Schizosaccharomyces pombe: one gene and its partners. The protein of the gene in region 1 interacts with the protein of each later gene in a biochemical or structural test. Each region holds a gene or a part of one and is shown in the gene's direction. Other genes may lie near its edges.

Region 1 (4,467 bases):
AAGGATTATGTGGTATGTAGGTGGCTGTGGTTTTAGAACTACCACTATCTTTTCTTCGTTTAGGAGCTGAGCTCCGACCACGAGATGATCTTCGACTTAGTGATGTATCTTTTTCGGAAATAACTTCATCTAAATCATGCTGAGCACCAACACTTGGTGATCCAGATTTGGAGAGCCTTTCAGAAACAGATTCAAGAGGACTCGACACGTTGTGCAAAGCAGTATTAGTACTGTTACCGGTTTCTAAGTTATTGGAGGTAGAAGACTCAAAGAGACGTAATGACCTGCTTGCCTTTCGAGACGGATGAGCAGAATGAGCACTTGCCATATCATCAGCTTCAGAAACGGCTGAAGACTGCAGCACCGGTACTGGTGATTCAGCAACTGAATAAGAGGAACCACCTAATTGCAAGTCAGCTAGACTCTTGTGAATTGAATCACTCATATATTCAACAGGGGTGTGTGTTCTCAAAGGGGTTTGTTCTTGTGAATTACTTCTTGTTAAAATTAAGCGAGGGACATCTTCCAAGCTCGTAGTTCGAGGGTCTACAGCAGATGAATAGTTACTTAGCCTTCTAGGCGATAAACTGTCTAATGACTTAGGACCTATGGATTCAGAATGCATAGTAAAATTATTGTTATCTTCTGATTCATCGTACAAGCATTTTAACGTTTCAGGACCTCGATCATGAAAATTCACGTCTCTGCCTTTACGTGAATTCGGCAGGTAACACTTTGGTGCGTTCTGCATAAATTCATAAGTTTATCTCTATTAAATTAATATTTTTCCTTAATTCCCCTTCAATTCCTCCAATTTGTCCGATTTTTATTAGTTTACCTTTCGCAGAGACCCGCTTTGGTTCTTGGCAAGTTTCTTACTTTGCTCTAGCTTACAGTATAATGAGGCGTATAGTGAAACTACTTAAATTCATTATTGTCAGCAATACTACACTACGCTATGATACACTACGTTGCGTATCACTATATGTCATATGTTGGAATACTAGCTAAGATCCGTTTATTGATAATCACGGGTAACTATCCGTCTATATACGTAGATACCCGTTGATAACAACTATTTAGAAATATTATAAATAGCGTTACAACTGAACTGAGGAACGAGGTTCAGTTATGAGCTATATTAGTGATAGGTAACATTATAACCCAGTTAATACAATACCTATACTCAGTTGCTACTTATACAACCTGCGTATTGTAATATAATAGATCACAAGGAAAACTCACCGCAGTTCTACGTATCCTTAAATCAGATACCAAACTGCGTAGCTTACAATTATTCTACTCTAAAGATCCACATAATAATACACCGTATCTGTCATTAAATTACGCATTGTGTCAGCTATGCAATCATTAAAACACTTAATGATACTTTAGAACTGCGGTGGGTTTTCCTAATATAAAAAATAATGTTAAATAAAATTCTGTTTTCTATACAATAATAAATATATCAAAATATTAAGAGATATCGTATAGTATTATATGTGCACTAAAATAGTTTACAATCAGCTGAGGAGTACAAATCAAACTTCATCAATATTTTTCTAATTAAAGAATAAGTACTTTAGAAGCAACGTATGTTCACGGCCGAAAGAAATGTTGGTAAAACACAATTATAGGTATAGTGATTGTTAACGTATCGTAAGTATAACGCACTAGACGTTAATTATATATTTGTGCAGTACAATGGATACCCTTCTCTTAAATTTCAGAAGCAGAGATCAGAAATTTAACACCAATGTTTACCTCAAAAATATGCCGTCTATAGTAATAGGCAATATTACTTCGAAGAGTATTGTTTTTGGGGAAAAGGAAAAAGCTAGCGATGCCGCCCGTACGTGCTGAAAAAAAGCGGAAAACTGATTTGATTGAACAAGTTTGCGTTACAAATAAAGCAGGGGAATTAGTAGATTTAGAGGACGTTCTAGAATATGGCCCTTATTCATTAACAGGAATTTTATCTTCTGAAAAGGATGAGCAAGAACCATTGTTTGATGAGAGCATTGTTCTGGGATACTCGATAAAAATATCGCCTGTTTGGACATACAATCTAAAAGACGTTCCTGAGAAAGAAACTATGAGCATATGGATCGTTACACCTCAAAGAAGATACGGAATTTTGTCTCCTTCTTCTGAGTATAAAGCCATTTACGAACAGATCAGCGAGAAGAATCGATTGTTTTACCTTATTAAGACAAAATTCAAAGATGATATGATATCTGGTACGTTAGAAGATTACGATAATTATATCGAAGTTTTAAAGGAAAAGCTAGAGCTTCCTTCTTGTTTTCAAGCAATTCTCTTAGTGCAAAAACATATTCGCTTTCTGTTAACCCAAATGGTTGCGACTTCTTCATTACATGTATGGTCTGAATCACCTTTTTTTATAAGAATTCGATCTTCATACGAACATCTGATTTTACAAATTAATAAAAACATTTACAATGCTCGTCAAGAGCGAAAGAAATCAAAGTTATCGTCAAACAATCCATCGGACAATAATACTACTATGAAAAGCTCTTTAAACCAAGCTCTTACTTTAATTAATTTACCCGAGCAACCGTTTAGCATTTCCTCTCCCACAGCAACACCACAACTAGGAGTTGTAAAAAGAACTTCTCCATTACGGTTTCCTTTGAATGATATTTGGCTTTCCGGTTTAAGGATTGTTGATCCAAATATTGAATCGATATCATTATGGAAAAGAATACAAGTTTCAACCTCTCCGAAGCATCAACGTTATATTAGCCTTCAAGAAGTTTGCAGCGTTATTGCTCAACAGCTACAAATAACAAATTTGGAAGCTTTGAATAAACTTTCTTCCCACGGCGAAACCCTTTTGCAAATTATGCATACTGCTTTCACGTGGAGAGGTACTAAGCTTTTTAATGATATTAAGCACGCAATTGGTTTTAGATCTTCTGTTCAACAAGCACGATCTCAATTCCGTGGATATTGTTATGATTATTTATTCATGCATTGTAACAATGGAGAAAAAACAAGTCTACATCTCTTGAGGACTCTAATATGCATGAAACTAGATTTCTCAAATGCTCAATTGGCGGCCAAGATATTATTTCATTTCTTGTTATTTGATATTGGATCAGGCCTTTCTGGCTCAGATTATACATATGAACAATACATTAATCACTCAGCTGTCGCTTTCAGTTTTACGGAGGAAATTTTTGAAAAAAATTTTGTTACAGTTCTTCCTGACTTTGTTAAACTTTTTTCTATTTCTTTTGGTTATTGGCCTGCATTCAGCTTCTATGATGAATTATTGAAATTACTTCGCAACAAATATCCCAAAGTATATTCATCAACTCCAAATTTATGCGATCAGGTATGGCTGGATCGAACAAATTTATTCCCTTGTAATAGGTCAACGAGGTCGACTTTACCGTATAGACCTACAAAACTGCTCGATTTAGCTTCCGCATCTTCCTGCTTATCCAAAAAGGAAACAGATTTTAAACAAGACACTGGATTATATTCATATAACTTGGAGAAAGTTGAGGCTTTAAAAGTTAGTCCGGATTTACAGACTGGTATTTGGTCATGTCCAGTACAAAATTGTTTGTATTTTGCTGTTTGTGACAACCCGTATAAACCTTCTCAGGTCATTTACGATCATCTTTTAGGACATGTAGATTCCAAGTTTATATTTAAAACTCCTTCGAACAGTGTCCGATCGTTTACAAATAAACTTGAACACATAATGTACAACATAAATTAATGATAGATATGATGATTTTTACTAGTAATTAACAAAAGACACACTGCATTAAAGTTAATATATAGTATGTTTATAAAGGATTACAATTTTACATGGCTAATGTCAAATACACTTTACTTTACAAATATCATGTGTTCATAAACAATTTCAAAAACACATTTTGTAACAACAATTTGATACGCTTATAAATGTGCCTATTAAAGTGTACAAATAGCTGAATTATTTGTCAAATGTAATATAGGACGATCAAACAAAATCAAACACCAACCCTTTACAATTGTAAAGTTAATGGCCGTTCAAAATACCAGAACCCATTTTTGATAATAACTGAGACCAAGCGATAAAATAAAAACAGAGGAATGTAAACGCCAAGAACTACTAAATGTTCATGCGTAAGGAAAACGAGCAAAAAACGAGTATTTATTTTAGAAAAGAGCAATACTATTAAAAAATTGTTCCAGAAAATACGGACCATACGCGACGATTACCCATCTTTTTGGTTTTGTAAACGTAAATAGAATCATCTAATCATGAATCAGTAGGAGCAAACATGAGTATGATGAGGCTCACTTCTTTGACATAAAAAAATTAATGTGATAGGATAATATCCTAAATTCGATCCCACTCATAGATAGAAGAAAGTGTAATTTCAACTCTAATACAAGAATGGAGCCAAAGTAAACAAAGGAATGTACAAATAGGCAAGATCCTGT
Region 2 (3,432 bases), on another chromosome or scaffold:
TAAGCAAGATAGGTTATCCAGCTTTGTGTTACAAGTGGAAGCTAACAATTCGCCCCACCACTCAGAACAAGTCTCATTTAAAGGAGTAAGAGTCTGAACGAATAATTTTTTAATCTCCAAGTCGAACACAAAGGATCGATCAACAAAAGCAAGTTCGGCATCAACTGTGGTTTGTTGGAAGTCCAAAGGAAAAGAGGCATTTGAAACAGACTTTGTAGATAAATCACTACATTCGTAACCAATGATACCCATAATTCCGCCGTAAAATGGCAAATTGGTATCTGGCTTAATTGCTTTATGTTGATTCATGAAATCAGCCACTGTGGACCACAAATCGTTGTTTATACGGACAAAGCTATTATCCTTGCAAATTCTAATCTCAGTAGTATTCGTTGCTTTCTCGTAATGTATAATTCGTGCCAAAGGACCTGTTAAAATTCCAAGTATAGAATATCTCCCAGGTTTTTTCGCTGAATCTAAAAAGCAAATTGGATTCCCGCTTTTTTGAATACAATCAGCTAACGCTAGTGGTTCAACCCAAGGGATTTCAACACTGTGAATTTGAAGAGAGGGAGAACCACTTTTAAGAATGAATGCAGCCGGAGAAATATCATACCGATTAAGATTATGCGAGAAACCATTTGCTGATTTTGAAAAGGAATTGACACATTGTATATTAGGAGTATCTGCTAGAGAAAGGAAATTTTTGAAAATTTTCAAAGATTTTGATGACCCAACGCTTTCAGGATGATAAAGTATTCCAAAATGTGGAAACTTTGTAGCCTTAATAGACATAACTATGTTATCTTCATCCGATTGAGCTAATATTTGTAAAGAATCGATGGGAATTTTGTTCGCGTACAAACTGTGGTAACGCATTCCTTTAACCGCTGAAATTCCATCAAAAATGAAAGTTTTTGAAGTAGTTACAGATGACACACGGCCATGCCAAGGAAGATTAGGCATTCTTTCTATAGTGGCACCGTGGTATAAAGCTAATGACTGAAACCCCAAACAAATGCCCATTACTGGGATATTTAATTGCCAAATACGATTCAAAATAGAAGAATATTCGGCAGGATGTCCAGGGCCCGGTCCTACGACAATGGCATCAAATTGAAGTATGTCTTCCCATAAATCAGGACTCATTTTATCCCAATGAACAACAATAACACAGGCATTTTCACTTGCTTTGTAAAGTAAGTCATAAAGGTTAAAAGTGTATGAGTCATAGCAATCAATTAATAAAATTTGTAAACGGTTTGAAATTTCACTCATGATAGATACTAATCAGCTAAAACGACCTTAGATTTACTCAAGAAACATTAATTTTTTAACGATATGATTGAAAAGAGAACTCTGGTATTAAGAGGTTTTAACTTTTACAAAGTAGCAGGAGTAGGAAGTGCGCAAATTAAATTCCAGTTTCCAATTTGTTTAGAAGCTTCTGACATTCTTCGGGATTTTACAAATCATACAATTCCATTTAAGGTAGGAAAAGTGTAGGCTATCTAAAGTTTTATTATTCCGTTTATTTTCAAAGAATAATTCGCAATCAAAAACTTGAAGGCGAGAATAATAGAATGGGAAGCAGTATTTATTTTGAAAACAACCCTTTGAATATGTGCAATTTTCATTGTCAATAGAACATGAAGCAATCAACAAATATATGTATTCTTTTTTGCTTTAATATCATTGATTCACCTATTAATCGAACCGAACGGTAGTAAATTTTATATTAATGCATTTACAGCCTGATCAGCGTAAAGATCTCAATGACAATTGATAGGACGGCTTGTATTACTGTTTTTTTTTTCTAAATCCTGATTAAGCCTGTATGTTTCTTCTATTTGGTTGTCAAGGCTATCACATTTTGTTCATTAAAGGTATTGTCTACTTAATGCTTCTAACGTCAGCAGCTAATTAAAATTATTTCAGTACATATATTCATTTATAAGAGTATTGTTACCATATTAATAATAATAAAAAAATATGGATTTTAAGAGTCGAAAATATAAAATTAAAAAGCATCCGAAGGATTGCAAACTACATGCTAAAAAATACCGGGGTACATTGAATTCAAAAGGGAAAAATGATAATGATTGTTTAATTATGTGTATGAGATGCAGAAAGGTTAAAGGGATAGACTCTTACAGCAAAACTCAATGGAGCAAAACGTTTACATTTGTTCGTGGGAGAACGGTTAGCGTTTCAGACCCAAAAGTGATATGTCGTACCTGCCAGCCCAAACAGCATGATTCAATTTGGTGTACCGCTTGTCAACAAACTAAGGGCATTAATGAATTCTCTAAGGCACAAAGACATGTCCTGGATCCACGATGTCAGATATGTGTACATTCACAAAGGAACGACGGTGATGATAATTTGGAATCTGATAAGTTCGTTGATCCTTTCATAGGTGATGATTCTGACTTAGACGATGATATCTACATTCATGATAAACAAACCATAAACTCAGAATACGCTGACGATGTTTCTGATAATACTGACGAAGAGCGAACTGAAAGCAAGGGGCAACAGGAAAGCAATTCAGCTGAAGAATATGATGATGATGACTCTGATGAAGACAGGATGGAAGAGATATTTCAGCAATTCAAAAAAGAAAAACAAATTGTATAGAGACACGTTTTATATTCATCCTTATTTGAATTATGTAAAGATTTGCTTACGATCCCATTTTATATGATAAATTATAAAGGTCCATTAGTGCTAATGTAGACCTTAAAATATGTTGAATTTAATTTAGATCTTAAATAAATAGATATATGTATATAGTAGTAAAAGGTAAGGAATTGCGAACCCTGATGTAAACACTAGCGTATATTGAACCCATTAGTTTCAAGCAACGCCGTGTCTAATTTTTTTTTTAACTTTTCCCTACTGGAGTATTCCCAAATACATAAGTGATTGAAGCAAGTATGAGAGATAGGAAGTTGATCACTGTCAGGTCCGAGAACTGAGATTCTTAATTGAAAATTATGTGCCCCAGTAGCGGGAATGCGATCGCTTCCTGTGACGAAAATGAGAAAAAGTTTTTGCATTTTTAGCGAATAGTGTGATATCAAATCCCAAAACCAAAGTATTATTTTTCTTTTTGATACGAAAGAGTGGCAGAGATATTTAGATGCAGTCATACTTGGTTCACTTTCAGATATAGAATTTGAAATCGCATTTTGGTCATAAAAATCATAAACGCAGACATTTTTGAGTAGCTCCCAGTCAATAACTTCTTCACTTCCTCTGATCAACTTGCTGATTTCATTGTCTTGAAACAACGATATGGCGTTACCTCCACATACTTTCATAAAGCCATCGAAAAAAGCAGAAAATTGTTTTTTTACAGTAGTATTTAAGAGATAATCTACATACCTCAAAACATATTCTTTTCTGTTCTCATTATCAACACTCAAT
Region 3 (3,972 bases), 910 kb from region 1:
AAAATAATAAACTGCAATGGCTATTTATTGACTGATATTAGTATTATAATTTTCATACAACTATAAAAATACATTGGCAAAAAAGAAAAAATATTGAAAAATCCTAAATAGATACGATGAAATCGATTTCTAACAAAAATTAAAATTAAAATAAAAAACTAAGAAAAAAAAAAAAAATCAAACAGTTACATAAGAACCTAGCTATTTTTTTCCAAACTCCTTCCTATTTATTGTATTCTTTTCAAACATATAAAGAGACGTACAGCAATCACTATCCATAAATAACGATAAAAGCAGCATTATGGGTAAATGAATTTGTGAAATTCACCAACTTGCCAAAAATTGCTTACATATTCTCGTTAACTGGCTTTACCGGTTCCGGGTACAATTCATTAACCAATCGGTTGGACGTAATGACTAAATAGCCCATAAGAAATATAGACAGAAAAAAAGGGAAAATAAACGTGAAAATTACCAAATCTAAGCATTCTCAATTTATGAAATGCTTGGTCTTTTAGTTGGAATTGTGCTGTACTGGTGCGACCGAGCTTCGAAATCGGCGAAGGAAAAAACTCAAAAGAAGCAAACGTCTACCGTTTCACGAAAGAAGAGTAAAAAAACTGCATCGAAAAAAAATTCTGGAAATTCAAAAGCATTAATTGTAAAAAAAAATTAAGTACTATTCTTTTGCATGTACTGCTCGATTCAATGTTTAATGACACTCCTTTCATCAATCTGTTCATCTCCACTCTACAATCTATTTATTCATTTGATACATACTCTCATATAGGATTTTGAAAAATATACTCATTACTATACAATATTATAATTAAGGGAGAATAAAAAAGAAATAAAAAAAACCAAAGGAGCCAGTTCAAGTAGGAATTACTTGTGCAAAAGCCCTTCAAGTACTAGTAAAAGTAACTAGTAGAGAATGACTTGGCTGCATCTAAAACATCCTTAAAGTTCAGGCATAACGAAAACAATAACAGCAAAGAAAAAGAAAGACGCAAAAAGTTCAAAAGGAAAAAGAACCAAACATGGTTTAGAAGCGAGAAACAACCAAAAAAAGTATTGCGGGGTTGTAAAAAAAGAAAGGTCCTTTACAACTTTTCAATGTCTTTCCCTTCATCCTCTTTCAAAATGTTTTACTTGACGACTGACTTTACAGCTCCTGACTAGGCTTTCCAGTGCGACCAGAAGTTTTGGGCAAAAGATGGGCGTTGATGTTGGGAACAACACCACCTTGAGCAATGGTAACGTGACCAAGAAGTTTGTTCAACTCTTCATCGTTACGGATGGCGAGTTGAAGATGACGGGGAATGATACGAGTCTTCTTGTTGTCACGAGCAGCGTTTCCAGCCAATTCGAGAATTTCAGCAGCCAAATATTCCAAAACGGCGGCCAAGTAAACGGGAGCACCAGCACCAACACGTTGAGCATAGTTACCCTTACGTAACAAACGATGGACACGACCAACGGGGAAAGCCAAACCGGCCTTGGCAGAACGGGATTGAGCAGATTTGGCAACAGCAGCCTTACCACCAGATTTACCTCCAGACATGACGAAAAATACTGAAACTAAATAAAAAAAATAAAAGTTTGAGTTAAAAAAAAAAGATTTTTCCTTCTTTAATGAAAAAAGATAACAGTCAACGATGAAGCAGCGAATGGATCAAATTTGGTGAAATTAACAGAATTTTCTCGCAATTTCAGCCTTTACGGACAATCAATCTCCTTATCAACTAAGGATCAATTGTTTATATCAATTTCAATACGTGTATGGATCAAAAGGTATCCTAAACAACGAAAAGTCGCGATATAGGGAAAAGGAGACATAGGAGCGCGCACCCTTCATATATATACTAATTCTAATCTTCCGTATAAGCACGTCTAACGCGTTCTTGTAGATGACGTTTCCGCGTCGCATGGCTAAACACCAGGGTTAGGGTTGTGATGCCCAAGTTGTATATAACCATCGCGTCGCCTGCAGGCATGTTAGTTAATACCAACAACTTGATATTGCACGAAAGTTTAGGATTATCAAATTCCTACAATTGCAATTACTTAGTTCAGTCCATCAATTTTGAGATTCTCTCGACAACCAATTTTTAAATCGTAAAAAATGTCTGCTGCTGAAAAGAAACCCGCTTCCAAGGCTCCCGCCGGTAAGGCTCCTAGGGATACCATGAAGTCTGCTGATAAGAAGCGTGGTAAAAACAGAAAGGAAACTTATTCATCCTATATTTACAAGGTGTTGAAGCAAGTTCACCCTGATACTGGTATTTCCAACCAAGCCATGCGTATCTTGAACTCTTTCGTCAACGATATTTTTGAGCGTATTGCCACTGAGGCTTCCAAGCTTGCTGCTTACAACAAGAAGTCCACTATTTCTTCCCGTGAAATCCAGACTGCTGTTCGTTTGATTCTTCCCGGTGAGTTAGCCAAGCACGCCGTTACCGAAGGTACCAAATCCGTCACCAAGTATTCTTCTTCTGCTCAGTAAGCGAATCGCACGATTGTGCAATCGTCTTTTAGTCAGCTGATGAGTTTCCACAGCCTTCCATTTCGACAATGACAACCTCACGAAACAAAAGGGGGTAGGTTATTTGCTCTTTTGGAAATATATATTTTCCTCCTCCCTTTTTTAACGTTTTCGTTCCCTCCTCTTTTCCATTTCCGCCTTTTGTATCGCATTCCTATTTTATTCCCCGTACAATGACGACAACAACAACACAGGTGCAGCACATCACGCGATAGTTTTTTTTACATTACACATGGTTCTTCATTTCTATGACCGGTTCGTGGAGTTGAAAGGTGTTTTGTTTTGCACAAGTCGTACTGGATCAAATTGGGTTTTGTGTTCGATTCGACGGGGACGAGATGCTTTTTCTTCCCTTGGTTAATCTTCTTCCCTTGTGCATTTTATAGCTATCACCACTGGTTGGAGAGTTGAGTTTCTTTTTTTTCGACTGTTTGTTCCTTTCCGCCATGTATGGAAATAATTTGTGTCATTGGCACTCATACAGACACTTCTCACACTCCATTTCCCGTTCCACTCCTGGGCATCTTGGTTTATTAATGGATTTATTATTATTATTATTGTTTATGTTGGTGATTTAGATTGATGGTGAATGGAATATTATTATTCACATTCAAAATATCCCAAAGAATCCAGTGTGCGAAGTTGATGTGGTTTGGTATGTTTGCTATGCAAATGATTTTATATATGTTTGGAAAGATTGTAAAGTAATTCTACTATTAATAATAATATAATATTATGAAAAGATCATTTCAATAAACTGAAACTTGAGTCGTGTTTTCGTAGCTGTTTCCGTAGTCGGACTTATGGAGCTGGCTTCTGCCTTTCTTTGGATTTGTTGTAGCAAGTCGAGTATGGTAGGTGGAAGGCATTTATTTAAGAAATGCGAAATACTAGGAATGTCGTGGAAAAAGGCATATGGTGAGTGTAAAGCAAACTGAGCGAGCATACAAGACGTTGTGGCTATCATCCAATCTGCCGCTTCATTAGGAGGCATGGAGTCTTTTAATTCTAAGTATATGGTTTCTAGAGTGGAAAACAATTGGAAGGTCGGTGGTTGAATGCTCAACTTGGATATGGAAGAGGGTGTGGTATTGGAAAAACTGGTATCCCGTATGGCCAACAATTTATAAAGATCTTGCAAGTTTCGAAGAGATTTTGAAATTCTCGGATCGAGGGAGGGAGAAACCTCGTTAAGAGGAAATGTCTGTAAGAGAAACTTTTGGTAAGGTACCAAACGTGAACGCAAGTTTAACAGTCGAGTTACGAAGTGTAAAACATCAGAGCGGGTAATGGAGGTAGAGAAAACAGGTAGAGAGGTTGTCATTTTAGAAGCAAGCTTTTTCATATCATGCTGGTTACGGTGCTGCACGAAATCAATTAGGGTAGAAGAAGCAAGAGACCATACATCGGACTCCCAGTTCGCCATC

The links.
Region 2: the proteins of raf2 (region 1) and stc1 form a complex in vitro, tested with the Schizosaccharomyces pombe proteins (one study listed by BioGRID).
Region 3: of the proteins of raf2 (region 1) and htb1, one has a biochemical effect on the other in vitro, tested with the Schizosaccharomyces pombe proteins (one study listed by BioGRID).

The regions. Positions count from the first base shown.
Region 1 is NC_003421.2:499,016-503,482, forward strand, and holds raf2 (CLRC ubiquitin ligase complex subunit Raf2), read left to right. Parts: upstream 1-1,749; 5' UTR 1,750-1,843; coding exon 1,844-3,754; 3' UTR 3,755-3,865; downstream 3,866-4,467. Other genes in the region: kcs1 (inositol polyphosphate kinase), read right to left, coding at 1-751. UniProt on the Schizosaccharomyces pombe protein: Component of the Clr4 methyltransferase complex (ClrC) which contributes to the establishment of heterochromatin by specifically methylating histone H3 to form H3K9me.
Region 2 is NC_003423.3:3,690,409-3,693,840, reverse strand, and holds stc1 (CLRC complex-Argonaute linker protein Stc1), read left to right. Parts: upstream 1-1,925; 5' UTR 1,926-1,992; coding exon 1,993-2,640; 3' UTR 2,641-2,833; downstream 2,834-3,432. Other genes in the region: abz1 (para-aminobenzoate synthase), read right to left, coding at 1-1,278; mug30 (ubiquitin-protein ligase E3), read right to left, coding at 2,835-3,432.
Region 3 is NC_003421.2:1,410,359-1,414,330, forward strand, and holds htb1 (histone H2B Htb1), read left to right. Parts: upstream 1-2,000; 5' UTR 2,001-2,125; coding exon 2,126-2,506; 3' UTR 2,507-3,278; downstream 3,279-3,972. Other genes in the region: hta1 (histone H2A alpha), read right to left, coding at 1,166-1,564; exocyst complex subunit Sec5, read right to left, coding at 3,279-3,972. UniProt on the Schizosaccharomyces pombe protein: Core component of nucleosome. Nucleosomes wrap and compact DNA into chromatin, limiting DNA accessibility to the cellular machineries which require DNA as a template.